Drosophila melanogaster: one gene and its partners. The protein of the gene in region 3 interacts with the protein of the main gene of each other region in a pairwise test. Each region holds a gene or a part of one and is shown on either strand. Other genes may lie near its edges. The genes, in order: fest, CG3527, CG7945 and rb.

Evidence for each region.
Region 1: the proteins of CG7945 (region 3) and fest interact in a two-hybrid assay, tested with the Drosophila melanogaster proteins (one large-scale study listed by BioGRID).
Region 2: the proteins of CG7945 (region 3) and CG3527 interact in a two-hybrid assay, tested with the Drosophila melanogaster proteins (one large-scale study listed by BioGRID).
Region 4: the proteins of CG7945 (region 3) and rb interact in a two-hybrid assay, tested with the Drosophila melanogaster proteins (one large-scale study listed by BioGRID).

What each region holds. Positions count from the first base shown.
Region 1 is NT_033778.4:19,338,695-19,347,031, reverse strand, and holds fest (wurstfest), read right to left. Parts: upstream 5,224-8,337; 5' UTR 4,949-5,223; coding exon 4,661-4,948; intron 4,465-4,660; coding exon 4,081-4,464; intron 4,020-4,080; coding exon 3,841-4,019; intron 3,779-3,840; coding exon 3,602-3,778; intron 3,468-3,601; coding exon 3,321-3,467; intron 3,251-3,320; coding exon 2,987-3,250; intron 2,809-2,986; coding exon 2,706-2,808; 3' UTR 1,278-2,705; downstream 1-1,277. Other genes in the region: Rgk1 (Rad, Gem/Kir family member 1), read left to right, coding at 935-979.
Region 2 is NC_004354.4:4,549,170-4,554,752, reverse strand, and holds CG3527 (uncharacterized protein), read right to left. Parts: upstream 2,781-5,583; 5' UTR 2,678-2,780; coding exon 2,510-2,677; intron 2,446-2,509; coding exon 1,855-2,445; 3' UTR 1,747-1,854; downstream 1-1,746. Other genes in the region: CG11444 (uncharacterized protein), read left to right, coding at 771-1,418; CG11436 (uncharacterized protein), read left to right, coding at 2,946-4,343; CG15912 (uncharacterized protein), read right to left, coding at 4,939-5,583. UniProt on the Drosophila melanogaster protein: S-adenosyl-L-methionine-dependent pseudouridine N(1)-methyltransferase that methylates a pseudouridine in 18S rRNA.
Region 3 is NT_037436.4:15,519,611-15,526,398, forward strand, and holds CG7945 (uncharacterized protein), read right to left. Parts: upstream 4,528-6,788; 5' UTR 4,223-4,527; exon of another isoform or gene 4,108-4,222; coding exon of another isoform or gene 3,902-4,107; intron 3,855-3,901; 5' UTR 3,606-3,854; coding exon 3,358-3,605; intron 2,971-3,357; coding exon 2,950-2,970; intron 2,893-2,949; coding exon 2,750-2,892; intron 2,586-2,749; coding exon 2,209-2,585; 3' UTR 2,101-2,208; downstream 1-2,100. Other genes in the region: yellow-k, read left to right, coding at 1,010-2,038; CG33986 (uncharacterized protein), read right to left, coding at 4,722-5,539, 5,598-5,613; CG33985 (uncharacterized protein), read right to left, coding at 6,302-6,520, 6,583-6,788.
Region 4 is NC_004354.4:4,533,852-4,543,528, forward strand, and holds rb (ruby), read right to left. Parts: upstream 6,776-9,677; 5' UTR 6,455-6,775; coding exon 5,813-6,454; intron 5,753-5,812; coding exon 4,924-5,752; intron 4,859-4,923; coding exon 3,635-4,858; intron 3,581-3,634; coding exon 2,793-3,580; 3' UTR 1,784-2,792; downstream 1-1,783. Other genes in the region: CHOp24, read left to right, coding at 7,152-7,293, 7,366-7,700, 8,056-8,205; CG3568 (uncharacterized protein), read left to right, coding at 8,852-9,061, 9,127-9,271, 9,325-9,677.

The DNA of each region.
Region 1 (8,337 bases), on a different chromosome or scaffold from region 3:
AAAATTGATGTCTTGCCTATCCAGCCCATTCCAACTTTTGTCGGAAATTGAATTTGATAAACTTTCTAAAGGCAAAAGGCGGAAGAAGAGAGGAGTTTCTAGGCAGCAATTAGTCCTTTTTGAGAGGATGTCGATGGGTGGTGAGGAGTGGGGTGGGGGTGGCTTGGGCTTGAGTTTGGGGTTTTGGGTGGAAAACTCGGTCAGATGAGATGCTACGTGCCATGCGTCAGCTGGAAAAATGGGAACCAAAAAGTTTGTTTATGCTTAGACTTTTTGGCCGGGTTCTCAAATTCGGGACCATATAGCACCGGAGCTCTGGCTTCGACTGCTGCTGTCATTCAAGTGTTTTAATCAATTCTGATTTAATTTTACGCCCAATTAAGTGTGAAAAGCGTTTGATGTTGAGCACGGGTGCGAGAGGCAAATGGCACCGTATACGCCCCCCGTTCCCATCCAACGGATTTTTCCGACCAAGTCACGCAAGCGTGAGCATTGAATATGCCATATGTGTGTGTGTGGGTCTCGCCCTTTATGGCTCCCTAGCTGCTGAGCCACATAACCTCGGATTCAGGATTCAGCCGGGTTCGGGTTGCTGGGTTCGGTTAGCGACTTTATTTAATACGCAGCACTAGAGTAAACGCATTTTTAGATGTTTGTATCCGCCTGAGCTGGAGACACTCACCATCACCGCCGCTTGAGTATCCTTGCCTTGTGGCTTCCGCACCTGCCCATGCTCACCGCCTCGCTTACGCTCACCCGCCATTTCTCTCTGTGTACCCGCTAACCATGGAACCACTTTCTTCCTATGACAGAGTCAGCCGTGGCATATAGTTCCGCCCCAGCATTATCCACTAATCTCTATCAACAGCCACTGCCAACGGGCCGCTCCTCCGGCTCCAACTCCAGGTTAAGTCTGTTGGAGAGCTTGGTCTGCATGACTGCCGATCCCATATCGTTGTGCTTTTGGATTTGTTTGCAGGTAAACATGAAGACCTCTCATCTTTTATAATATTTGTATATGAAAACCTTTTTTGGCAAACATTCAATTACTTTTAAACGTGCAATTCATTCCTTTAAATATTTACATAGCTCGCAAACTCTTTAAGCCCGAAAAGATTTCAAGTCCTGATGGCCCTTCAGGTGCCACAACTCCTCCAACAGGGTTGTAATGTGAATTGTAGTCGTTAAGCAATTTTCTTGTACTTTTACAATGCCAGAGGAAAGGTATGAGGTCATATATGGTTGCCAGGAGCCGCTGAAAATTGTATCTCGATCCAGATTTAACCCATGAGAATTAACAAAATTATACGAATCTATTACAGTAGCGCAGATAGAATTTACTTTATTCAGGACTTTCATGTATTACTTTTTGACATCGATTTTTGTGCACATAAATTTCGATATACATGAGGATTAAATTTAGAGTTTTGAAGATTGTTGTTGTAAGGCTACACAGGTATAATTGCAAGGCGTTTCACTTTTTTTTTTTTAAGGAATGGTGTTTAAAAGTGTGCACGTGTTTTAACTTTGTTTTCAAAGACGACTGCCTTTTTCAGATAAGCGTTTGTTTCGTAAGCTAATTAATTGTATTCCATTTCAGTCACAATTTCTCACTTTGGCCTGTCGTGTGTGTGTGTGTGTGTGTGTGCTTGTGCATGTGTGCGTGTATCTGTATTCCACGAGTGTGGTAGTGGTACTATTCCGTCTACACTTGGAAATTTAAGCACTAAGTCCACTCATTTTACATTTTACGCAACGTTTGCGCTGTAGAGTGTGTGTGTGTTGTGTGAGGATGAACATGGTTGGATTGTAGTAACTTAACTAATCTTAACTGGTAACTTAGAACTAACTGAATTGTCACTGGTGTTACGTTGGCCAAAGCAGCCGTCGTTTGTTAGCTAATTTTTTATCATGCAGAGGCTAATTTTGATATCAGCGATTTTATCAATTTTTGCTTATTTTTTTTTTTTTGTGGAAATTTTGCAACTTTCGATTTTCAATCTTGCTGAATTTGTTGCATTTCAAGTACGTGTCGAACGTTTAAAAAATCGTTGGAAACTTAATTTTGCTATACTGTGAGGGCCGAAAAGAAGCGAAACGCGAACCAAGTTCATTCTTTTTATAACACCAAACGCTGGCCCTGATCGAAATAGCATTGTCTTGGCCAGCGTTTCAGGCAACAGGTGGATTTTCCAGAGCCTATTCCACCTGAATTGCCTGTACTAAATAACGGTATGCGTATAAAAACAAGGATATCGAGGGCTAGAGAGATTGTAAGTGTGATTATCTAAAACTAATTCCCTAGTGTTTGCGTTGCGCCTACGTCGAGCAATCGAAAAGCAATCCTTCAAGGATCAGGATCGCCAGTTTTCGTTGCTCGCGCATTTTTTCGAGCTGTTTCATCTTAAATGCAGTTATACATTTATAATTTTTTTTGTTTAGAAGACCAGGTTTTCTTAAATGATCTGATCCCTCTCCACGCCGAGGCCCCAGTTTTCCAATGTTGTTTTGTTTGGATTTTTTGATTTTTTTTTTTGGGGGGGTCACTATATCGACGCTTGAGTCGGTTTGCGTGTGTGTGTTTTCTGTGATGTGTGTGTGGTGGTGGTATAATGGGGTGATTTTCGATTGCCCACGCTGGGTGGCTATAGGTGGCATTTGGATGGCCACCCAACGCGATGCACATCCCATGGTGCGAGCGGTACTTAGTAGACAATGAGCAGGTTGTTTTCATTGAATCCAGCCGAGTGACCAGCATTGCGTACAATGAAACAGGATCCGTCGAAGTGCATGCGCTTCTCATTACGACTGCAAAAAAAAAAAGAACAAAAGGAATCTTCAAATATCCGATTAACTGAATTACTGCAAAAGTATGGAATCAATTAAACACTATCAGTGTTATAATCGAATAAATATACGACGAGAACAATGCATTCTTCGAGTGCATCATTATTGCAAATAGGTGTGGATGCAGTGGCCAACTCACCGGACGAACAGGTGCGAGGTCTTGCCCAACGAAGCCGTGCAGTGGATGCCGGTGGTGGTCAGGGTGGCGGATCCATTGCCCGGACTGGTGCGAATCAGGCACTTGCTGTGCTGGCGGCTGACCTTGACCAGGCCGTCGGCCGCCTGGGTGATGCGGAATCCATTGATGTCATACACCTCGGTGCCGTCCTCGGCGCAATTGTAGGTGGAGTTGGCGATTACGTCGTGGGCATCGGACACAAAGGATGGGCCGTGGCGCGAATCGCTGGAGGGTGTTGTTAATTGGAAAGAGGAGCTTGGCGAATTGATTTGGGCAAATTTCGTGCTTAACTCACTCATAGAACACCGCCAAGGTGTAGTCCTTGGTCAGGTCGGTGAAGGTATCGGTGGTGGTGCGAGTGCCAGCTGTGTCCACCAGATAGATGAGGGCACAGGACTCGCTGGTGAAGCTAACGCCCTTGTACCACATTTTGGCATAGCGACTGGAAGAAAATGATTGCAGCTATAGTTGCATAGATTTTATACGAAAATCTAATGAGAAGTACAAGTTTAAATTCCAAAATACTAGTTGTTTGCCACTCTTAAAGTAAAGGTTCGATTCTACTTCTAAGCTTACACAAAGTTGTTGGCCTTCATTCCGTCGTAGGTGACGATCTCCACCTTGGAGCCGCTCTGCAAGATGCGCCCATTGGGATGGATGAGGGCAGAGTTGCTGCAGTTGCGCGATAAGGCGGCGGCAACCATGCTGCGCTGATTCAGCACACGGACAGCCTTGTCCAGGGTCATGTCAATGCTGGAATCGGGAATGATTTGGAATGATGATCAAGGGATAAATCTCCTACCACGTTCACTTACCGAACGCCCTCGCGCAGGCGCAACTGGATGGTGCCATTGGACATGGCAATCGGTCCAGATCCTGGACACGGTGGTGGTGTGTTGTTCTCGAACTCAAAAGTGCGCGAGCTGACGCGATCCATAGCAAAAGGTGGTGGTGGCATTGGCGATGGGAACTGCTGGGTGTGATGTGCCTGTGGCTAGGTAGATATCGCATATTTCTAAAATACGAAACACGGGGCAATAAATCAAAGCACTTACCATGCAGTAGGCTCCATCCACCTCATAGCCATAGCCAGAGTTGAAGCGTCCCGTTAGACTCTTGCCGCTGCGCGTAATATTGCCGGCATCCATGTTCCAGCCCATGGTCTCGTAGCCGGCACCAGATTGCGGCAGGACTCCGAAGCCCGAGTGGGAAGATGCGTGCATGCCCATATTCATGTAGCTGCGGCCGCAGCTGTTTGTCTGGCTGGAGCACTCCTTGGCCAGGACGGAGGTGCTGGTGCCCACGCTGGCGCTGTTGCCCATGCTGCTGCTGCTGTTGCCGCGCTCCAAGCCGCGCTTCACTCCGCCAGTCAGCGAAAGGCTGCTCATACGTGGAGCCAATGGGCTGTTCATCGATGACACAAAGCGCATGGTGGCTTGCTAGGGATTGGTAAGGGAAAAGGTATCACATGGTACATCAAAGATCACTTGCAAAAAATGGGAAGAAAAGATGACTTGCAAAAAATGCTAAGAAAATATGACTTGCAAAAATGACTTGCAAAAATCAAAGAGACGATTTTTTGCATATGCCTTCAAAATGAAGGCAATCCTATGGAGAAGTGACAACTCTACTCACCGGCGATGGGTTGTTGTTGGTGAATACGGAACGCTGGCGCACACCATTTGGAGCCTTGGTGGGCGAGCGCAAGATGTTATTGATCTTGTCGTTCAACTGGGCGCGGGACAAGAAGTCCTCGGCATTGAAGATGCCAACGCGGCCGCTCTTGGGCGTGGCCAAGGGGGCGGGGCCCGGTAGAGCCAGCTCCTCGACATGGGGCTCATCCAGGGCGCCGGAGTGCTGGCACTGCACCTCCTTGGTGCTGCTGGTCTTAGGTGCAACGGTGTCCTGGGCGTCGGTAACCATTTTGTCAAGATTCGATTGTTCAAAATTTATGGGAAAACCGTATGGAATCGAATGGGTGATGGATGATGGTGTTGTTGTTCTTGGTTGAAACGGGGCCTGGACTTTGGTATGTGGATCTAAACGAGAACGGCACACGCGGCGTGCTGGACAGCGAAAATCAAAGTACTCTGCTCGACACGGAACACAACGACTCAATGAGAGGAATTTAATTTTTTACTTTTTATGACTTTTCAAGAGCACTGCTCGCTGCGACAATTTTCGAAAGAATGACTTGCCTCAAGTGCCGATGGAAGGATGTGCCATCAATTCTGACACTCACTGGCCTACCGGGTTTTTCGATAGTTGAAAGTGTCGTAATATCGAGTACACGATACTTTACTTTTCCCTTCGTCCCTTTGAAGCCCTGGCACTTTTAGATTTCCCGTGAAAGTTCAACGTATATCCGATTAGTGCTGCATACTTTTAGACGGCAAAAAGCTGATTGAATTCAAAATAACGCATTTAAGGACGACACTGTAGTGCAACCCATCTCCTCGCTTTTAGTGGCCGGAAAACGAAGTTTCGCCTTCGTAATTGAATCGAGAAATAGACTTGAACACACGCACAGCAGTGCAGCTTCCAGCAATTTATTGCCGCTCATTTGTATAGTTTCTACGCAGCTATAAGCTGCAGCAAAAGACTTAGGCTTTAAGATTTATTGGGAAACTGCATTTTCCGAACGGGAGAAAGTGCAAGAGAAAGTGCCGTCATTCTTATCGATGCTGGTTAAATGCTGAACAAGTGCGCAGAGTTGCAAAGTTTTGAAGCGTTGGCAGGAAATGTCAAGAGTCAGATAAAAGTGATGTTTGCACGTAGCACAGTTTAGTACTTTGCTAATAAAAAGCTATCCCCTTCTAAATTGTTGCTTTAACGTGGCTTAAATATGTTGTCAAAGTCAAACAATCACGCAATTTAAATGTATTATACATTCAACTGAAACTTTTAAATTGACATATTAAATAAGAACTGGCATTTAAAGTTTCTGCGAAATGTAAACTGCTCTTATAGAACTTTCCAGTCGAACAGCTACAAATTTTTGGATTATTTCTTAATGAATAAACACTAAAATCATAATATATTTTAGTAATAGCTGCTCAATCGTTTTTCTTGTCAGTTATTAGCCATTTTATTTGCCTGAATGTTGACATATTAGCCACAATTTTGGCAAACCCCCAAGGTCGTTTTATTTCCATTTTTGTGGGTTCACTAACTCACCTTCAGTGTGCAAAGTCCCTGAACTTCCGGAACTATTGTGTTTTTTGTATACGACTGTCAACTCTTTCCGCTCTCATGATTGATTTTGCCTCTTGATTTCAGTTTTTTCTTGCGCGGATTAGTTTGTTTAATGAGCGCATTGACTCCTTGCATTTGGCCATCGGCCCACGCAGATTTAGATTGACACTTTCGCCATCATATCTATTTAAATGGACGCGTTTATTTAGACACTTGGCTGGCATATTTTTTAAATTTTATTTTTGGCACTTGGTCGGATCATTAAAATTCAGCCACTGCAGCTGCAATTCCGCCCACGCATCGCATTGACTCAGTTTTGAGCAACACCAACTGAAAGTGAAAATGTGTAATATATTTATAGCAGGAATGCAATCGCATATGCATTCAATGAAATACGGAAACTCATTTGTAAAAATCACCCCGTCCACCGAAGTGATTTTTCCGTTGTCACTTTCGCCAGCCGCAAGTGAAACAAATTGGTTAACCTCCTTTTTCAGTATTTATCGTTAAAAATATTCGCAAATATTCAGACAGCTGAAAATTCAGATTTTCAGCGAGCGTCGTTGGAATAGTTTGCTAAATTTTGAATTCAAGTTGTAATTACGCTCGTTTTGTAAAGGCAAAGGCACATTTGATATGAAAACTAAAAGGAGAACATCAGCCAAATGAATAGAGAAAATTCGCTATTACTTGCCGAAGCTCGTTAAAATGTGGAAAACTATTTTCGCCTTCTGCAGTCAGTGAACTTTGGCGCAGACAAAGATCATAAAATCCATACTAGTGTAGCGGCTATATATAGAAAGTGCATAGGACTCCGACTTGGCCAGTGTTGCAATCTTTGACGTCACCGTTCGCGTGAGTGGCAGTGCCAGTGGTAGTGGTGACCACTCAGATTGATGAGAAACTTATGGCATAATTGAAATGGCTTTTAAAATCCATTTGTTCAGCGCCTTCTTCCTTATTAAATCCTTAGCAATTTTCATTAAAAACAATTAGCGCCAACGACGCCACTTGCCTTTGTCGACAATACCAGCCCCTTCAGTTTCTACTGGGGGGCAGGAGGTGCTCGGGAATTGAATGGACTGGGTTGGAATCGGTTGGGATGGGACGGGATGGAAATTAATTGATTGTCAAGATGAGGCAACGGCAACCGAGCTGTGTAAACAAATAAATGTGTCTGGTCATTCAGCGGGAGATCTTTGTTGTCGCCTCTAGATGATAATGCCGCCCCGCTGTCAGCTATGGAATTACACTCACCCACTATATATATATATATATATATATATATATATATATATACAGATATTCCGAATCCGATGCACATACATTTACGGATCTCAACCGACAGGCACGCGACGCTAAAAGCCTCTCGGCTTGACTTCCATCAATATTTTGGCATTCCCGGCATTATTCTGGCCGCGTCGAATTCCTTGGTGACTTTTCTGTTTACACAATCCCCTTAAGTCCCGTGCCCCCACCTCGGCCCCCTGCAAGGTGATTCACAGGGATTTCCTGGAGACGAAGAAGCCACCACCTACGCGTGCCCAAAAAAACAAAAAAATAAAAAATTATATGAAAACAGATTGAAAGGTTGGTCAATTGGTGGTCTGAGCCAAAAGTCTGCCGACTGCCAACGGCCAACTGCCGCCGTTTGACGTCATCGGCTCTTCGGCACTTGCCAAAAAATCCACCCATCTCATACGCTCGTGTCTATGGTCTATGGTCTATGGTCTTATAGTTCATCGAAAAGGTGTGCCAGGCGGTTTTTTCCCCATTTTTTTTTTTTTTGGCTTGGGTTAAACTTTTGCAAGATTTAATGTGTGCTGGCGCTTTGCCCGCGTTGTCGGTCTGAATTTCACGCTTCATTGATGGGCAAATGTGACGTTGTCGCGTCTGCTTTGATTTTGATAAAATAGGCCAAAGTGTTCATCAATAATCATTTCTGTAAAGATCGGTGAGCGAAGCAATTATTTTTACAAAATTTACAAAGAGCCTCGCCAACGAATGCACAAGATAAGTTGGCTCAGGCATGGCAATCCATTCTTTTTTTTTGTTTTGAACATCCTTCACACATCAAAATTTTAATTTTTTTATTTCTACTTTTTAAGAAATATTAT
Region 2 (5,583 bases), on a different chromosome or scaffold from region 3:
GTGGAATATGTACCACTAATTTATGGTTTGCCATCGCCCAAATGAGAATTCCCAACACGTGTGCCTTATTTATTTCAATTTTAAGCAGTTTTCCGTTTTTTTTTCTTATAAAAGCCGCAAAGAGCACACTTCCAAAATCGGGATATTTTTTAGTGAGATTATATACAGATAGATAGCAGGTGAAGGGCAAGGAAATTATATATGTATTTAATTTCCAATGTATACAAATATTTTATATTTTAGAATTACAATGATAAACAAAAAATCATAAAACTAAAGAGTTTATCCCAAAGTTACTTGCAATGCTCAGAAACTACGCTAAGTAGGCTCCTATTCAAAGTGCTAGTCAAGCGAAGTGAGCAAAAAAAAAAAAAAATAAGCAAATTCAAAAAATTAAACAACCAAAGACATTTTCGAATTTCCCGCTTTGTTTTGAAACGGTTATGGAAGCGGTTAATTACCGAGTACAGCAAACTTGAACACTTGAGGGCGCCAGGCGTGATACGGTATTACCATTCGTGTTATTTATGCGGTATTACTATGCAGTGAATGCACGGGCGCACTTTTGACCGGCACTGTACAACACTGTGAATAGTGCAAAAAAATTTTTTACAACGTGATTAAATATAGATAATTTTCGAAACATAAACGGACCGTAAGAATCCGTTAACGTAGCCAGAGTAAAAGCTCTAGATACAAGCACATCGGACATACAGGAGGAGAGACCTGCGAATACCCGGGAAACCGTAAGGATCAGTCCATAAATCATCATGCCACGAGGAAAGTTCGTCAACCACAAAGGTCGCAGTCGCCATTTCACATCTCCCGAGGAACTGCAACAGGAATCGGAGGAGGATAGCGACCAGACCAGCGGCTCGGGATCAGATAGCGACGATAAAGACGCTGCCGGCGGCAAAGCCAGTTCCTCTGCGTCCAAAGCCAAGGCACCCGCCACACGTAAAGCGCCCGTGAATCGCAATCAAAAGTCTCGATCAGCGGCGGGCGCCGGTGCGGCAAGTTCCTCGGAATCGGAGTCTGGCGAGGATTCCGACGATGACTCCGAAGCGGAAGCGCGCGATGCCAAGAAGGGCGTGGCCTCACTCATCGAAATCGAGAATCCCAACCGGGTGACCAAGAAGGCCACACAAAAGCTATCGGCCATCAAGCTGGACGACGGGCCAGCCGGTGCCGGCGGTAATCCCAAGCCGGAGCTTTCTCGCCGCGAACGCGAACAGATCGAAAAGCAGAGAGCGCGCCAGCGTTACGAGAAACTCCATGCTGCTGGTAAAACCACCGAGGCTAAGGCCGATCTGGCCAGATTGGCTTTGATCCGGCAGCAGCGCGAGGAGGCGGCCGCCAAGCGGGAGGCGGAAAAGAAGGCAGCCGATGTGGGCACCAAAAAGCCGGGTGCCAAGTAGATAATCCATCCCTTTTGAAACCTTCCCTTTCCCATGTGGGATTTAATAGAGCTCTCAATCGTGCAACGTATACAAAATTCGCAATAATCCTTTTGATGAACAGTGCAATTAGTTAAGCATAAATTACCGCAAACATACCTTCAAAATTATGCAAGTTTTCTAAGCCTATCTTTTGTAACTGCAATTAACATAAATAAACCAACTAATTGTAAAAACAGAGAAAGTGCGTGTGTTTCGTGATGATTAATTAGGATCCCAGATTATATTATAACTATATATATAAGCGTCTTTGTATGTTCTAAACTTTAAGAAAGATGAAAATAGTATTCTGGTCTGGATATTCCACCAAATTTTAATGGAAGGCAATCAAAAGAATAATATGTAGACTAACTACTAGCTATGACTAAACTAAGAAAAACAATGCTTTGGACTTGGATTATACCACGCCCCAAACCTCCTCGAAGGCGGAACAGATTTTGGAGCACGCGATGGCCGCCGAAAGTGGATAGTTGCTAATGGAGAACAGCTCCTCCGTGTAGTCCGTTTTGAGAACGCCATGTGCGAAGGCTCCAATAACGATGACCACCGGCTCATCATAGCTGGCCGACGTCTCGTCACCATGTGGCACCAGATCCCGGCAATTGGGCAATAGTTTGCCAGAGAAGCTCATGGCGTACTTCTTGCAACCGACCGGCACATGATCCGTAATCGGATTCTTAATGACACTCATCAGACGACGTGAGGAGTCATTGGCGCGAATTTGGAACTTGTGCAGCAATTGCACCATTAGGCCAGCAAAGCGTTTAAATGTCCTCGGGATGCGCGTCTGGGGATTGATTTCGATAAGCACATTATGCTCGGTGCGCACAAAGACCTGAAGCAGACCGGCCCGGTTCAGTGGCGAATCGAAGAGCATCAACAGGCACTGGTGGGTGATGTCCGGACGACAGGAGCCGGGATCTCTTTGGTTTTTGCGCATAATTCCCGCGTGATCGTCGCAGTTCAGCAGCTCGAAAGTGTTGTGCACCTGCAGCAATGGAAATATGTATTTATATATATATATATATATGTATGGAAGGATGATGACCCACCTTCACCGTCTCCAGTTGGGCTCCTTCCAAAACGATGATCAGCCGCTTTTCGGTGGCATTCAGATGGAGCACCTTGAATTGCTTCTTGTCCAGATCGAACTCCGGATCGTCCGCCTTGCGACCGACAAACTTACGCTTCCTATTGATCGCCTTGCCCTGACCGCCCATATCGTAAAAGTAGTTGTATATGGTTAAAAACAATTCCGAAATTATTCTTAAGAAATCCGCACGTTTTTCGAAATGCACAAGTTCAGTATGACCTTGTTGCGGGCTCCCTTAAATACCCAACTTAAATAGTATGGCATATGTTTTTCAGTATTAAAAACAACGAATGCATTTGCTTGGGTCTGGTCACACGACGGCGAGTTTGTTTATTTTTTGTTTGCATTTGGATTACCGGATCCTTGTCGTCCTCCTGGTTTTGCAATCCTACAAGATGCGCCTGTGCCCGCTGGCGTTCGCCGTGCTGCTTGGCCTTTTTCACCTGATCCAGGCCTGCAATCATTGGGTTCTTCGCGAGGAGCAGATCGTGCCCAAACTGGACTCTCCATTCCACATGCGTGAACCCCACAATCTGGCGGCATTTCTCAAGCAGATCAGGTACAGTGAGTATGTGGAGCGCTCCTATCTGGATCTGCTGCGCAAGCGGGAACAGATTGTGGAGCACCTACGATTTTCGATGCGTTTCGGTGAGGATCTGGCCGAGCAGGCCAAGTGCGCCATGGACTACTACATGCTGGAGAAGCGAATGTCTTACCTGAAAATTACGCCAGAGCAGTTGAAAAGGATTAATCTTCCGGACCAGAGGCAATTGCACATACAGAAGAGCGCATCCTCGATGGGAATGGAGCCGATATGCAGCGATTACCATCGATTAAGCGTGGGTCCAGCCACCTATGATCATCTGGAGAGTTTTCGGCCCGAGGTCCTGGCCGCTGCCTTTCTGGAGCGCGAGCATGACACCAATGTGGGCATGGCCACCGTGGAATTGACCCGGCGATTTGCGGTGGACGGATTGCAGCATCATCCGGCCTCCTGGAAGTTCCACACCCTAAGCTCGTACTATTGGCGCATGCGAGGAAATGCCCGGGAAGCCCTGCCCTGTGCCAGATTGGCTGCCTTGCTGGCTCCGCCGATCTTTAAGGATATACCCCTGCTGAGTCTGGGTACCATACTCTTTCGAATGGGTCGACTGGCCGATGCCGATCTGATATTGACCGCTGCGGTGGAACATGCTCCTAATGTGGCCGAGAATCATGTGGTCCTGGCCTCTGCACTGGCCATGAAACACGACTTTAATCGATCACTGCAGCACTTCGACGAAGCCGAGCGACTGGATCCCAGCACATTGCCGAGAACACAGCAGGTGCGAAACTTTATAAGTTGCCTAGAGAACCTAACGAAGAAAACCTCCAAGATGTATAGCTATGTGAAGTACATGCAGAACGAGGTGAAGGAGTTCAAGAAGCTGAAGCATCACATCTCTCAGAATCACGAGAGATTGATCCAACAGCAGCTGCCATTGGGAGCGAGACGTCTGCTTGGCCTGGACGCCAAAACCAACAACGATGATCTCCATCGAAGGGGTCAATACTGCAGCACGAGGACGCCGAATGGTTCAGATGAACCGGTGTTGTTTTGTGACTTCTATTCGGACATGCAAATGCGATTGGAGAGCAAGGATGTGGACATTGATGTGCTGGAACGGGATCTAAAGGCCAATACGGATGCGGTCATTCGCCAGGTGTCCACCGAAATCCGGAAACAGTTCAATTTGGAGCAGCTTAAGGCGGCCAAGGCCCAAATGCCTGCGAAGGCGACAAAGGCTACATAGTAATGATTGCCATTACAAACAGATGGACTGGCACATTCCCTTCACAAAGCAACCAAATATTTTTGGTCACAAAATAGCTTGTACGATTAATCTGTTCTTAATTAGTATTTAGGTATGTGTGCAAGAGACGTGTGCGAGTGTGTGTGTGTGTGTGTATAGGATAAGTTTTCAGGTATAGTTTTATCAGGCTTTATACACGGAAATGTTCGAAAGGAGGAGGTTCTTTCGATGCATAATACAGCATCGTTATGTCACTTTAATTAATAATATCTTTTAATGAATATTTAAACAACGACTTTTTCACATTCGATAAGAAATAAGCTTTGAATTGTATTCAACTAAGAACTCTTTTGTTTATTTCTGTTTTCAGACAGCTTATTTTTATATTTGTTATATTATGTTTTATATTTGTCCAAAACCTCCTACCTCGAATTTCCCAAAAAAATATCATTAAGATCGCGTATTTATATTTACCACTAGTTTTACATTCAGTTATGTTATCTTAATGCAAAAAAAAAAGGAAATCTACAAAAATAACAACAGCCATTATCCAATCGAAGAACTGCAGGTTCCCGAGAGGAGTTTCTTTGGTGGATTACCATCGGATTGGTTGGGTTTTTAAGGCCTCCAACAGACTGGAAAGACTGGCAAAAGAATGGGGATTGTCAGCGTTGCTCACAAGCAAACCGCTCCAGCCGCAATTCCGGGCACCTTCATAGTCCATATCCAACTTGTTGCCAATGTGAAGGGCCTGCTCCGCTGGAATTTGCAATCTCTGCAGCGGAATTTCGAAGATACCGCGTTCGGGCTTCATAACACCGGCTTCGTAGGAAGTCAGAATGAAATCGAATTTGCCGGCAAAGCCCATGGCGTCCAGGACTTGTGGCAGTGACGAATCGAAATTGGAGATGATGCCCACACATTTGCCGGCATTTCGGACGTTCTGCACCAACTCCTGGGCACCATTCACGTGACTCCAACAGGCGCTGGTCCGAAAAACGGAAATTAGCCGCTGGCCGATCTTCTCCAGCTTCTCGGGCGCCAGACCGTGGTCCACGCAGCTAAAGGTTCGAGCCACCAGCTGAAGCCACCAACGCTGCCAATCCAATCCCGGCGAGTAACGGCCAAAGTTTGGATGTTCGCTGCTCATCGCCTTGAATTGCTGGCGAAAGCATTGTTCCAATCGGCGGCGATCCACTCCGGTGACCCCGAACTCCTCTGCCGTCTGATGGTACTGGCG
Region 3 (6,788 bases):
ATAACTGACTCTACGCGCAGTGCCATTTTTCCCATTTCGGCGTGAAAAGTATGAAAAGCTCTCAACCTACTGATGGAAAAAGAGAGAAACCGATAAAGATTCCAGTTATAATCAATAAAATCAGAAGAGAGGTGTTAGAAAATAAAGCTTACCACATTTTTCGGAGTGGGTGGATTTGTTTCAGATTATTTGAAGTGAGTATTATAATTTTTGCAATAAATTATACAATATCATTTAATTAGAAAAAATCTAAACATATAAACGAAAATGTAATGTAAACTAATGAAATTATTTTTTTTACAACGATAAATGCTCTATAACGAAGAAAGTTTCCAGAATAAAATATTTCTTAATGTTTATTCGTGTGATTAAATAATTTTAATACTTAAAAAAATACGAATGTACTAAAAACTGAAAGCTAAACAACATTAATTGATTCCTCGGGGGTTCACTTTAGCTTTTTGGCAATTCCCAAGTGAAATCAGTCATCTATAAGCAATCTTTATAATGGCTGTAAAGATATGATAGGGTTTTTTTGTACTTTTACGCGAAGAAATACTCGTTAACATTAAGGTTATGTTAAAACTAAGCACTTAAGGTAGGTTCAGTTCACAGGAACCTTATCAATATCGCTAAAGTTCGACAAAAATAGCCTTATTATGATTTATTTATTATAGGTTATTATGGTGGTACAAAACAACCATTTTGTTGGTTTTAACTTTGATTTATTTTGAAAAATATAACAATCCAATTTTGGGTAATTTTAAGAGGAAACTGTGTCATGATTTCGATATTCTCCGATTGAAATTGGTAAGCTTTTTTTTTTTGGGACCACAAGTGAATAGAGAAACACTCCAATGCTGGTCCCCATTAATGCAGGTCGCCGATATATTCGGCGACACCCGATCCCAACTGCTGATGTAGACACTTTGGTGGACTTCTTGAACGGGCACTTACAACGTAAGCAGAGTTCTCTAGCCCTAAGCTCAGTCTGAATTCGCGTTTAAAGATGGTCACACATGGTGTCCTCGGCTTGGGATTTCTCATTGTTGGTCTAATTCTGGCCACGGACGCCTGGCTGTTATCCGAATCTGGTTTAAACGAATCCAGCTACAAAGTCCGTCATCTATCGATGCACTTTTCGCGAGTGTTTCTCAGCGTAAATGTAGAAAGCAACGATGCGCCCACTTTGATCGAGGCGCAATGGCCGGTTTCCTATTTTCCCATGCCCACTGTCGTCTTTCCCCACATCGATGTTCATTCCATGGGGGATCATGATGATTGCTCTCTGGTACAACAGGCACACTGGTCCCAGGTGGATGCACTGAGTCGACTGTGGGTCATGGACATCGGATTTCCCGGCAGCACGTGCTCACCCCGTTTGTTTGTCTTCGATCTGATGCGTAACAACGCGGAGCTATTGAGAATCGATTGTGGACACCATATAGGTGCTAATGACACCCACTTTCTGACTGTCCAAATGGGACCCAAGAGTCCGGGATGCGAGCACGAGCGCCATATTTACTTCATCCTTGGAAAGGTACCAGAAATTCTAGCCTACGACATCCTGGAGCAGACGTGGCACCGCCTATCCTTGGAGAGCAATAAGTACGAGAATATGAATCAATCGTTTCCCATCAAGCCAGTGGATTTCATCTTCGGAATTCAAGGGGAACTCATACTCTCCGACCAGGATGGTGATCTATACAGTACGGTGGACAGACTGGAAATTGAAGGCAAAAGCGAATTAGCAAGCAAACCAATTAACAATAGCATTAAACTCACACATTTGGGCAGTCTTCTGGGCAGCAGTCGCAGCATGATCATCGACAATTTCGGAACATTGTACTATGTTATCCCCAAATTCGGAGCTGTCGTACGATGTGCCAAACTAGCCAACATCACAGCCGAGGGCAACGAAATCATATATATCACATCGAAGAACATTCAGCAGATTTTCTTCACCTCCAATGATGCATTATGGGTCCTAAGTGATCGGGTCTTGAATGCGAAGGACATGTGCTTTCCTAGCTTATAACATTTAGTTTGTTAATATAAATATTAAAATTATATTTTACTTGATTCAAACACTGCTGGCCTGGTGTATATGCTGCTTTCTTTATTATTCGTTTCATCTAGCTTGGTGATGTATTTCGTTTGGTTTGATAATAATGCTATGAATAGTTAATAGACCAAAAAACAATTTAATTAATGGCTAACAGTTTGCTTATTCAGATAAGCCATTAAGGCCTGGAGCCGCTTCTTGATGTTCTTCTGATCGTCCAGAGTGCAGCCAAGCAAAACGCTCTCGAACTTCTTGTCGACCGGCCCAACATCGGCCTCGGGCACGGTGTCCATGTGTCCGGATGGATCCATTGAGCTGCTGCAGCAGGCGTTTAAGTAAAACTGGCATCGTTGGCGTCCGATCACGGGATCACCCATCTTGATCATGCTGTCAATCAATACATTTATCTGGCTAAGGGAATCCTCCTGAGAGTTGTCCCGAACAGTGCGCACACGCAGCTCCACGGTGGCCAAGCGAGAGCTCACCCGTTGTAGGTACAAAATGATCTCCTCTCGTTCAGCTGCAAAAGAAGGTGGTACAACATTAGCTCACAGTCAACTATGAATAACCCTTTACTTAGTTTGTCATCAGAAACCATTACTTCCGACTTCGAAATAATACACATTTTAGTAAAGCTATGAACAATGAGGGTTCAAATTAGTTTTAAGAATCACTGTCACTTACCTTCGCTCATGTTCTGCATCATTTCGTTGCTCTTGATCAGATCCATGGACATCAGAAGGTAGTCTTTCTTCTCCTGCAGGTTGAGTGCATCCTTGCGCAGCTTCTCCACACGTGCATCCAAACTATCCAGTATGGTGACAAATCTGCGAGTCACTCAAAGGTTAGTCACGCTCAGTGGTTATTATAAATTCAAGATTTACCTCTCGCTGGCGTTAAATGGTCTGTCACATGTCGGTTAAGTGTGATTGCGGTTCAGTGGTTAAGTCATGAAACGAGACAAGCAACGTTAGATTGTTAGATCGCTCTGCTACAGATCGACTGACCACTTATAGAGCTACGAAATTATAACCAGAATATGTCTACAAGAAAAGGCGCTCGCACACAAAGCTCTTTTGAGAGTTGTGTGGGCGTTCGCGGCAGATACTTTAAGCTATCACCATTACTATTATGGAACAAAAGATTCGAATGAAGCTGGTAGCTGGTAGTGTGAAGAAATAATAGATAAGAAACGTATAACTTTTGTTTCGCTACGAGGTTGTGTGAATATAATCGGTGGTATTGTTTTGGTTTCGTGTCTGATTTGGTTTTAGTTATGATGGAATAACAACCTGTCCAGAGCTCTACTATCGTCGACGAGTCCGTAGGAGCTGTTCCCGCCATTGCCACCACCTCCGGATCCGGATGGGGATGAGGAGGCCATGGCATCGGCCCTCAGGTCTTGCAAATGATCAAAATTCATGGATGCCTCCGAGTGGTAATCGCTGGGCGAGATCTGATGCAGCTGCTGGTGATAAGTACTATGGTGATGATGATGAGTGTCACTGGTTTCCTGCGTTGTTGGCGCATCAACTTCCATATCCTGCGGCTGCTCCAGATTTGATTTAAACCTGTCGCCCTCCAAAAAGCCGGTCAAGTGTTTGTCACCCAAGATGGTTGGATAGCTGCCTACTGTTTCGTTTTGGGTTTTGGTTTTATCTTATTTATTTTTTTTTAGCCGCTTTGCTGGCTACTTTTTTTGGAATGTCTTAAGCTTTTTTTTTCGAGTGGGTGTCGAAGTGTTTGATGCTGTTGCTTAAGCTTAATTTTATCTGTTTTTGCTTTGAAGCTGCAATAAGAGAGAAGAGGAAGCGTGAATGCGCAGAATTCAATTACCTATCTGAATGTGGGCTGTGAAAAGAGCCTTCGGTCCAGGAGGCGTCAAAGCCATCATTGGACTCGGGCGTATCGGCTTCTATATCTTCCGGATATCGGTTTATTATCTCCGCCTCCTGGGCGGGTTGCGGCGGCGGTGGCGGCGGTGTTGTGTCCGACTCGCAGCGACGCCGTTTCCGAAAAATACCTCGAAAATTCTCAAACATTCTCGGCTGAAATCACCAATTTTCTAGAAGATTACGCCTAATTCTTCTTCTTTTCTTGTGGCAACCGATGTCTAGGAGAATCCCCGGGTGGCTGTTTTGAACTTGAATAAATTACCTGCCGCCCGAGACTTGAGGCTCCGGTTTTAATGCACCTTTGGCCCGATGCAAAAATATTGTTGATTTTTCGAGTTGGGCAGTTTGAGTTAGATGACGGGAAATGCTTGTGTTTCCAGATAATTCGTAGACACCGATTAATCTAACTTTGTTAGCTTCATTTTTGAGCACCTGGGTTGTTTACTTCGAGGGTCAATCGAATATTTCGCTTTACTTAAATGAAGATAAGTATAAATATGATTAATTTAACATTATATTGTGGGATTTGTATGACCGTGTCTGACTACCGCAAAAAAGAACAGTGGCCATATAGTCAACTTTATCGAAACCGATTCATCGAACATTGTTGTCGAAAGTTAGTGTGTACACACATTAGTTCTGGTTTTCATCTGTAATCGGCGGGAGTTTTAAAAGTAGTAGTACTTTTAAAAGAAACCTCTCTAAAAGCATTTGGTATCTCCCAAAGTTCAAAAAATTGTATGCTACATATATTAAAACTTCTATTTTATTAGTGGTGCCAAATTTAAATCTCGCACACACTGAGCCGTGCGCGACCATTGACAACTTTTGGTGGCAATATCGAAGAAGTAATAGAAAGGACATTGCTGCAGGCTGGCGTGTCCTTTGACGCAGTAGATAAAGAACTCGCATCGCTGCATATGGGGATACAGATGCTGTCCGTAGGCGGGGCAGTGAATGAGATCACTCGAAATGGCGGTGCCACCGGATGGGAAACCGGAATTTCCATTCGTTGGCATATCCTCCTGACCACCTACGGTGCACTGGGCTCTCTCCGGAATATCGCATTTACCCGTCATTGCATTCCAGTGCAATTGCGAGCTGCACTCCTGCAAGATCGCCTGTCCATAGTAGCAAATATAGTACTTTCTGCAACTACTCGAGCTGCCGACATATACAATCCTGTCGCTGGATTGTTGTTGCTCCACCAACGTGGAGCAATAAGTGGCGGCATCCGTGACCATGTTATTCGGATCTCCATCACCATTTCCGCCATCGAATGGAGGAGTCTCTATGGGATCCGTTTCATTTCTGCACTTTACATTTGTCGCCGAATCGCAGAGTCTGCTCTCCGAATTGAAGAGCATCGTTGGTGGGCAGGAAGCCAGGACTGCATCCCCGTTCTCAACGCACAGGTAAAACATGTGGCAGTCCTCCGCATGCTCCACAAACTCACCAACCAAATGATTGGCACATATTCTACTACCACTCTGCCTGATGGTCACCGAGTTTGTGGGCTTCGATGGTCTCCAGGTTAATTGCGCTGTGGCCAGCAAGCAGTTCACGATCAAATAGAAAGCTGGAAACCAATAAATTCTCATCATACTATTAGTTTTGAGAATATCCATCTTACTAACCCGTATTAAGCATCATCGTTTTTTCTATCGTCAGACTCCAGTAGAGCGCAGTTATATTCTAATTTCGTAATGCCCGGTGAACTTGGCATATATGTGATACATTCGGCGCCAAGATACAGCCGCATATGTGGCTCAGTATCAGAAAATTAACATTTTCAATTGCTTGTAGGAAGAAGTTGATAAGACTCCTGTATTTTGTTTTGCCAAAAAAGAAATATGGCTCCCTTTCCTCGCAATCAATCGATATCGTATCTCGAAATGGCAAGCAGATACAACTTTAATGCTGGATTTTTAATTTTAAAGTCTGGTGAAAAGGAAGCCGAGATTAGCTAGGAAATTGATTAGGTGATATCACGATGACATATGTTGTCCTTGTGAGGAAAATCGTATCATATCGGTCAAATTACTATGTTTCAAATCGAAGGTTGGCCTATTTTGGCAAATGTTTCGATTCAAGGTCTTCATTTTGCAGAGATATGAAAGAATTGCTTGATATCACCTGATAAATTTAGGAAAGAGTCAAGGTCGGCCGTGTTGCTTGATAGTTTTACAAAGAAGTCTTATTGATTACCAGTATTTAGGTTTATTCCATATGTAAACATACAACACTTTATGTTCAATATTTTCAATTTTTCCACAAAGCTCGTTAATTAACTAAATGTAAAATTTCGTTTTTTTTTTTTAATAAATATTATTATGTGTATTTAATAAATTTTCATTTGCATTTGCAGCTTGTTGTAGCATTTGGCTTGACCTAGTGCTACACAGGATCGCTTCTCGTAGTCCCATCCGTAGAAGAAAGGACACTGCTGGACCATCAAATAGCCAGAGCGACACTGGTAAAAGTAATTGCAGTTGTCGGAATGCGGATAAACATCGATTACATGTCGCTTGCACTGCTCCCTGGGATTATAAGTCATGGCCTGTAAATAAATAATTTATTATACAAAAATTATAAGATATGAAGTACCATAGGTTAACCCACCAAACACCTAACGTTTTCGGGATGATCGCATTTTCCGGTGAGTGAATTAAAGTGCAAACTGGTGGCACAACTCATGGGAAGTGCCACACCGCGATAGCAAATGTAATAATCTGAACAGGAGTTCTGATTTGGCAGCAATGCGATACGACTCTGATTATCCAGTTGTGGGCACACATTGGTCACAATAATCTCTATAGCAGGCGATA
Region 4 (9,677 bases), on a different chromosome or scaffold from region 3:
AAAAAAGAACACCCAAAACAATACACAGAAAATCACAAGAAAGAGTGAAAGATCGGTGAAAGGAGGTAAACTGTGGAAGCCCAGATTTCCAAGGGATAACTAGGATATAACACCATAATAGTTAATTGCTCTAGACCTCACAACTGATCTCGATTCGGAGCACCTCAGGCTAATACTTATGCATAACGATAACGATAATTAAAAAACAAAAAAAAAACGATAACAAACAAAAAGGAAGAGAGAGTGATAAAAACAAAAACTTAACGACTTAAATGCACTAACAACAGGCATCGAACGGTTAGCCGTTGACTAACGGTAGCAATCCGTCCGTTTTAGGCCCTCTCAATGCTTCGCTTCGCAGCTATCGATGCTTATCGATTATATAGTCTCGGTAATCGAGCCATAATCGAAAATATCGTTTGTGCGATAAGCGATAACTATTTCGTTGCCCATTTAAGACACCCAAAGATGAAAACCAAAACCAAACCAATGCTTTATATGTTATTGAAGTTAGAGAGTAGGGAAGGAAAGAACGATTTGAACGATCCGCCGGATCTAATAAATCTGAAGGTAGACAAAACGGGAGAGGTGGAGAAAGAGGCCATCGGGCTAGTCCAAGCGAAGCATGTTATACCAAACACCGTACGTAACAATAAGTGATTGAAAATCATCCTTAGACATACACACATACTGCATAAATCGATATATACATCTTGCATATACATTTAAAAGAAAGAAAACTAAACAAAACAAAAAAAAAATGGTAAAAAAAAAACTAGTTTTATATGAAGTTAAGCGAACGAAGGCCGTGGCATATTATATAACGTGTATACAGAATAGCGAAAACGAGAAGAGAACGATACTACCCCAGGACACTATATACAAACGCTCTACTATATGCCTGTCAAGAACTACTCACAACCCATTATTACAGCATACATATACCCATGCCATATTACCCAAAAATTACATTAATGCATACGTACATACTCGTACTATTCGTACATACATACATGCTATCTATCCCCTAATCATACATTATATAGCATCCCCAAAACCCTATATTTCTTCACTTATCACTCGGAACTTTCAAGCCGTTGATCTTAAAGCCTAGCCTAACCGAAAACTACAACTACTAAAACTACTACTTGAGATCTTTAAGTGCAGCAGCGAATCCAAAACTAAACTAAACATTACTAACCTAGCGATCTAACTAACTCGTTTATATTGATAAGCATGAAATTGAGCTTTTTAATTGTGCAGAACCCAAATTAGAACACAAGGAAATACAGCTACAACTACACCGACACCGACACCTAAAACACAGTTGGATTTGGAGAAAGCAGCGTAGGATTTGAGGAATGAGTTATGTATGTTCTATAACCCAGCATGTCAGTATGTCCAACCTCCTTCTATAATTTCCCACGGAGCTATTTTGAAGCAATCCCGACTTTCAAGCGACAGCAGCAGGAAATTGATACATAAATGCAGAAATCAACTCGAATTTTAAGGAATTGAACTAATTAGAATTCGATTCGATTCTTTTGCATTTGAAAGTTTGTCCTTGCTGACTTCTTATATTCTGTTTGGTGAGTGGAGAAAGTAACAAGAACAAGCGTGAATAAACATCAAAATAATTGAAAACTTTTGAAAAAAGCATTTTTACTTGACATGTGCGAGCGTGTATTAAACTTGATTCGTTTATCCAAAACAGGTAAGACGTTCTCAATTTTAAAATGTAAGCTTTTATTTCAGCTTTTCAATGCGGAGATTCAGCTTATTTGTTTCAGGCATATTAACAGATTGATTTGTTTCTTTATTAGAATACGTTTCATTTGTTCACTTTAATTTGCCAGAATTTGCGCTGTTTATTGTATGAATATAATATATAATATATAGATTCGATATTCGTTTGTCTTTGCTACGTTTTGAAGAAGGCCGCATAGAGCACGAAGGCAACAGATTTACAACATCAAACACTTTACAAATACGTTTCGATTACTCATACACACATTACACACACGCCTAGCTAAGTAGGATGGATTGGAGGATAGGATTTGTTTGGATCGGCAACGATTCGAGTTCAATCAATTGTAACATCTCATTTCATCTGGAATTGTTTGTGGTTGCAGTTTGTATATAGGAATATTAAAAGCGTTAGGATCATGTTTCATTTATATTTGGGCGGGGCGGTTGGTAATCCTTGAATAATTTTCGATTTGGATATGAAAGCTACACTAATCTCATGTTGTGTTCATCCATTCATAAAAGGAAATGGTGACTCTTTTATGCAAAATATCTCAGTATAAGCGGATACAAATATATAGGAAGTTGTGTGTTTCCCATTTCAATAAGTTTCATTAAGAATTTGCGAATGTGTATAACAATAAATATAGTTTTGTAGCATTTACACAATAGTTTGCATCACTTTTCATTCAGTTTTCAACAAGTTAAAGAATATGTAATAATTACAGTTGAAATTGCAATTTAAATTAGTTTTGGATTTCGATCCCACTTGAACACTTAAGTTGCATCTGTTACACTGCACATTTACATATAATCTCTCGAAAATGGAATTTAAAACACCTGTAATCTCAGCTAATGTTATCAGCTAATTTCAAAGATTACGTTCTCCCCGCCCGTTTACAAGTGTATAGCTAAATATGAATGCTATGTTTACGTAGTGAGGCGGCTTTGCCTTATTCTCAGTTGAGTAGCCCTGCTCCAGGGGATTCCACTCCTCAAGTTAGTTCGCTGCTCGCTTTCGTCTTGTTCGCTTTCGTGTCCATCGCTCACATGGCGAAACTGAGCTGCAGAGCATTGCGCAGCTCGTTGAGCACCATGGATCCAATGACCATTTTCTCGCAGTTTACCAGCAGCGTGAGGGCATCCTCTGTTTTCCAATCGAGGGTGAGTAGCACGAGGCTTTTGGAGCTCAGGGTTTGGCCGGCGAAACAGTGTAGCTGACCGCTGGAAGAGCTGTGCGTATGCGCCACGTTGATGGACTCGAAAACCTTTTGCCGCAATGCGACCACATCGATTAGGTCCTGCCTCAGGCCACGCAACTCGCACTGATGCTCATTCATTCCACGCAGCTTGGCCCGCTCCTCGCGATGACAGCTCTCGCCGATCTGGACGGATCTCACCAGCTCGCCCACCGGCGGTTTCAATTGCAGTCGTGAACTGCCCGCACTTGACAGAAGCTCCAGGTCTACAGCATGCGTCGAATCATTGAAATCGACGCCCAGCACACCACTCGCTGTTTGTTGGGGCTGGAGAACAGTGATTGGCGCAAACTCATTCAATTGCATGCCCGCCGGCAGAGTTGTTTGCCCGAGACGAATGGCCGTAATCTCTTTTTCGCCACGATTCTGGAACTGCAGCTCAATGGAGCACATGCTCGAGGAGTACAGATGCGGGGAGCGGGTGAAACGGTAGGCCAAATGCAGTCCATGGCCACTGACCTTGTTAAGCAGCTCCTTGTGCTTGAACTCGATGTGCGAGGGACCCACCAATTCCACCCGATTGCGGGCGTGCTGCGGCTGCAGTGGCGCCGCCTGTCCAGCCATCATTGGTGTGCCTATTGAAGAATTATTATATAAAGAGGCCAATTTAGAGATGCGCATCACCTTACCAGGCGTCAGGAATCCTCCCAACGAGGGCGTCATCACGGGACCAATGGGCGGAATGTCATCCAGATCGAGTAGCAGGTCCAGATTGCTCTTGACAGCCGTTTGCTCCGGCTGTTTCTCGTGCTTCTCTTTCAACTTCTCCGGCTTTGTGCCTGTGTCCGTTTTCGTTTCGTTCTTTTTCACTTCATTATCGCTACCGGAAGCGCTGTCATCACTACTACTGCCACTGTACGCTGATGAATCCTCGCTGTCCGATGTTCCTGACGAACCTCTCGCATTGTTATTGTTGTTTATAGTTGCTTTTACAGGCGAAGAAGTAGCGGCCAGCTCATTGCTTCCAGCATCGATAAGCCGCTCCTTCACCGAGGAAACCTTGGTCGGCTGCTGCTTTTGCACCTCCTCCTCCTCCTCATCGCTGCTCCCGCTGCCATCGCTATCGGATTCACTGTCGCTGGTGCCACTGCCACTGCTGCTGCCTGATTCCGAGTAAGCGGAAGACTTGTCGTCCGACTCAGAGAGGAAGCCCTTCTCGCCACCAGCACCCTTTTCCTTACCGCCTTCACGGCCGGATTTATCCTTTGAATGTCCGGATGGCGAGTCTTCACCCGGCAGCTTGTCCTGCATAAATCCAGCTATATTGCGTACCGATGAATCCGGTGGAATCACCGGAAAGGCGGGCAGTTCCTTGTAGCCAGCCGCTGGCATGTTCAGGTAGTGAGACAACGATCCTAACTGGAAGTTATTGCCATCCCGGTATTTACTCTCCGGCACCGGAGCCGGTTTGCTGGCGAGAAATACTTGGCGGGCATGCTGGCTGAGCACCGAGCTCGTTCCGCTCGCCGGAAAGATGATTTGCCGCAGAAAACGGGCACGATCGCGTACATCGTAGTTGGGATCATAGCGAGCCAGCGTAAAGACGTACTGACACAGCAACGATGTCTGCTCCGGATTGGTCAGATAGAGCTTAACGCCTAAGTTTAGGACCTGCAGCTTCACCACATCCTGCTCATCGACAAACGATTTGGCCATTTTGCGCAGCACATCCGGGGCAATCAGCGGCACCTTCTCGTTGTATTCGCCTATAAGCCAAATGATGGCTGCCCTAGCTGCGGGCACATTGATATAATCGATCAGTTTGGCCATTTGGGTGATAATCTCAAAGTGCTCGGCGGCTTTCGTTTGCAGAAGACGCTTAATCACCACCACGCTCTCGGCCACCACGTGTTCTAAATGGAATAACGGAATACTTATAAAATTAAAATACAAATGGCTAAAAGAAAGCTTAACGCACCGTCATGATTGGACAGCAGATGAACCAGGCCACTCAAGCAGGTCTCGGTAACCTCCTTAATGCTAGATGCACATCGTCCAATGGCCTGAATCGTGGCCGCCACAAACGAACGATCGCTGCTGGAGATGTAGGTTTGAAATTCGCGCAGAATGAGCGAAATACTGCCCGCCGAGGCCAGATTGGTGAGAATATCCAGCTTGAGAAGCTTTATGTGCGTGGGATCGCTGGTGCGCACAAAGAACGACTTGAGGTGCGGCTCAAAGATCGCCTTTCGTTTGGTGGACATCGAGGCAATGCAATTGAGGACCACGCTCTGAACCTCCTTATGCGATCGCAGCAGTCGTATCAGCGCCTTGGCAATCAATTGCACTTCGTTCTTGGGAGCCACATGATGATAGAGCTGCGCCACTGCCATCACCACGGAGGCATTTCGCGATTGGAGCAATGGTTTCGTTTGCCTCAACAGCAGGCGGTGATCCACATCGATGTGGTAGCTGTTGCTCGGAGAACTGGGTGTTCTACTGCCATTTCCTCCGCCATTGTTTTTATTGTTCGTACTCGACTTGTTTTTTTCGTCATCGCTACTGCCATCATCGCTGTGGGAAGAGGAGTGCGAGGATTCGTCGTAGAAGCGTTCACTAACGGGCGTTTCGCCCAGGCCATCGTTGACCAGATCCTCATCATCCGCATTGGGATCAACGAACTGAGTGCGCGCATAGCGGGTCAACATATTAATGATGATCACCTGACCCCATTCGTCCACATCCAGCAGGAAATTGCACAGCTTGCGGTAGTTCTTGTGTATCAAATCTACACGTTCCGGACAAACCTACGAATAAAGATCCGTCGTATATAGAGGATAAATGTTTTACTTTAGCTGCAGACCCACCTCGTCGAAGGCCATCACCGCTGATCCCACCACTAGAGTAGTGCGATCCGATAAAAGCTTCTCAATGACCATGACCAGTTCATCCTTTTGATCCGCGTCCAGAGAATACAACTTGGGGATGGCATGTGCCGCTGTTTTCCGCACATATGGACTCAAATCGGCGGCGCTATCCCGAATGGCCAGCATTACGATTGGCACAATCATGCTGACCCTTATGGAGGATAACACTCGCAGAGCCGAGGCGCGAATAAGTTGATTGGGATCCTTGAGCGCCCTCTGAAATGTGGAAATGGATAGCAGGGCCAAGTCCTGCTGCTCCTCGGCGTATCGCACCAAATAGACGTAGACCAACTTCTTGACCTCGATATTCTTGGACACCACATTCTTGACGACTGCCGGGAACAGATCACTGGCATCCCGTCCGCGGGCAATCATGCCAATGATGCGCTTCATGGCCTCCAGCTTTAGTCCATCCTTGTTGCTGTCCAACATTTGCTTGAGATCATCATGCTTGCGTCCATCGGATTGGAAGAAAGCTGCTCCGCTGGCAGGATCCGCTCCGAATTCGACGTCCAGTCCCATTTGGGGCCGCTCCACATATGTGGACATGGCGAAGGGATTGCTGGCCGAGTTCTGCTGCATTCTTGCAAAGATTCCCCCGGATTACCCAGATTTCGGTTGACCACTTGACCTTTTACTTTCCGTGCTGATGATTTTTTTTTTCCTTTTTTTTTGTGTGTGGGAGTTGGCAGTTTTCCCTTTCGGTTTTTGCAAATGCGTCCAATGTGAAACCTTTGTTCCTGATGTTGAATCCTCAAGACGATCTGGTGGTCAGCTGCTCGTCCTGCCACGCAGCTTGCAAGTTTTGCAAGGGATACTATTATTTATGCCGAAATTCTGGCCAATTTTTGCATTTTTTTTTTTAGCTTTCTGTTTCCTAATGGTGGGCAACTGTCGATAGTCGCCGATTAACACATAGCACAAAAATACTAGAACACTTTAACTAACTGTGATGGAATGCACCAAGAGTTTTTCATATAGGTACGCACATAAATAAAGTAATGTATTAGTTACGATATCCAATACTTTAACCGAAACATTTCGCGGCATTCATGTTGCTTTTGAATTTTTATGAGTTGTGAGTTTTTTGTAGTGATCCGTTAAAAATTCGGTATCGCGTGTCGCGTGCACCTATCGATGCCGAATCTATCGGAAACTGCTGTTCTTCGATATGCCCTATTTGTCTACATCTATCGGAGTATATCGAATCGACTACAACTACGTGGCTGCAGTGCGTTTAATAGCGATTAAAACCAGGCCAAAAGTACTAAGACAAACGATGGAATCGACACTCGCCAAGGTGCTGCTCCTTGTGGGCAGCCTGCTGATCCTGTGCCGCACCAGCCACGCCTTCATCGTCAGCGTGGACGCCCACAATGAGGAGTGCTTCTTCGAGAACGTCGAAGGCGGCACCAAGTTTGGTACGTGAGCGATATGGATTTTCGGTCAATTGACAAGGGATCTATGCTGATAAAATGATGGTGACTTTACAGGCGTCACCTTCGAGGTGATCGACGGTGGCTTCCTAGACGTGGACATCAAGATCAGCGGCCCGGATAACCATGTGATGCACGAGAGCGAAAAGGAGTCGTCCGGCAAGTACACCTTTGTGGCCCCCGCCAAGGGAACCTACACCGTGTGCTTCAACAACGAACGCAGCAGCATGACCCCCAAGCTGGTCATGTTCTCCATCGACGTGGGTGACGCACCGCAACGTGCGCCCGGAGCACCCGGCGAGGAGGAGGTGGGCCACACCAAGCTGGAGGACATGATTCGGGAGCTCTCCGGCACGCTGACCAGTGTCAAGCACGAACAGGAGTACATGCATGTGAGTGAAGAGACGAGGTGAAGATGGAGCATCCAGCTGCCACATAATCATGATTGGGGGTTTTGGAAGAGTTTAACATGTAGCAGAATTAGGGGTACATGGAATATGGGAGCAATCGAGTAACTATTGCCACATAGTCTGGCATGCCTCCAGCATTACTTGTACAGATCCACGTCGCAAGATTTAAGAGCGGAGTCGGTAGACTTGTTCGAGGGAATGGAGCTGCTAGCTGCCACATAAACAATAACTAGTAGCGATTTTCAAACACTCATGTTTTCACCATCGGTTATAATCAGTATTGACATTATTTGTGAAGTAATCCACGACTAATCCTCCAATTTCTTTACTCCCTCAGGTGCGCGACAAGATCCATCGTTCGGTGAACGAGAACACCAACTCGCGAGTGGTGCTGTGGTCCACCTTCGAAGCCCTCGTCCTGGTCCTGATGACAGTGGGCCAGGTGTACTACCTGAAACGCTTCTTCGAGGTCAAGCGCGTCGTGTAATCCCGAGCGGAAAACCAGGATGGAAGTAGCAAAGGAAGGCGGCACACGAAGCTCTGGGGGAAATGTGTGCGCAATGCGTTGCAGTCTCAGATTTAATTTAAATGATTAACATCCTTTTGTAATTTAAATAAAATACCTTGTAAAAAGTAATTAGTGCTTGAAAGTATGTCGATCATGTTTCTGTTTCGAGAATTATTAACAGAGATTGCTATATTAGAGAAATTAATATATATATTTTTTTTTAATTACCAAATATCTCTTAATGGAAACAGAACAGCAAATATTTTCAGACACACATTCAAGGGGGGAAGAGACACTTGTGAACTTTCGAACTAAATTGATAAGAACCATTTGTTTTCTAATAAATGTAGGTTGACAAGAGAAAAGTTTGTTTGCAACTTCGAAATGGAAATGGATTCTATAATAATTTCGAAATATCTGAATGGAAATAAAACAACTTTTCAGAAGCTATATTAAATTCGTTTCAAATCTTTTTGAGTGTTGGGTAGTTAATGTGACAGTGGAAATAAGTTATTAAATCTGACGTCGGTGTGCAGCACTGGATCGTCCAGTGACAGTTGACATATATTCCTATCAGCGGCGAACTTTTTTGTCCGGACTCCTAAAAGTGACTCCAAAAAGTGCGATGAGATCTTTTCTTTATATGCTCTCCCAACGTCCCAAATTGGCATGTTTGTGCGGAAAATCTATTATCATATGGCCTGGTAAACGTACAAATCTGCCGGAAAATGCTTTCACTCAGCGGATGCTTCAAGAATGTGGCCAAATGGCAAAGCCGGACGCTTCGGTGGATCTCGATAATTTCAAAGCTATTTCGGAGCAGTCTCCCGCCGAGGTATACTCATTGGAATTGGTTTCGCAAAATTGTCTTCTGACATTGATATAATCCCCCCACATTAGTTTGGCATCGATTCCTGCCGAGTGAAGGCACAGCCGGAAGATCGAAGTGACCGCATACGGGAACAAATCGCATCCGCCTATCCGGTGATTCACGAACGGACCCTCCTACTCTTTATCAGCTTCTTAGAGCACAAGCTCACGTTCGGTGGGTACAATCACAATCGAAAGAATTTATATTTTCTGGTCATCGTTTTACAGGCAGCGAGCAGGAGAAGGCCATCTACAAGGACATGACTGTGGTTGACCTTGTGCAGCGCCTGCTGGCGAAGAGATGTGTGTGGTTCTTTGGCGCTAACGACTATTACCGTACAATGCAGGGAAATATTGGTAACGAGGGCTTCGAGGCAGTGGGTACGCCCGCCGAAAAGGAACCCCTCACTTTGACCTCGGTGCTCAGCTACGACGAGATCAAGCTGTCCGCCCTGCTCTACGTGTCCTGCCACTCGGAGTTCATTAACAATGGCAGTAGGGTCAATGGGGGTGAGGTGCTGCAGAATAAGGACACTATCGAACGGGAGGGCGTTGTGATTGGACTAATTGGAGCTCGTTTC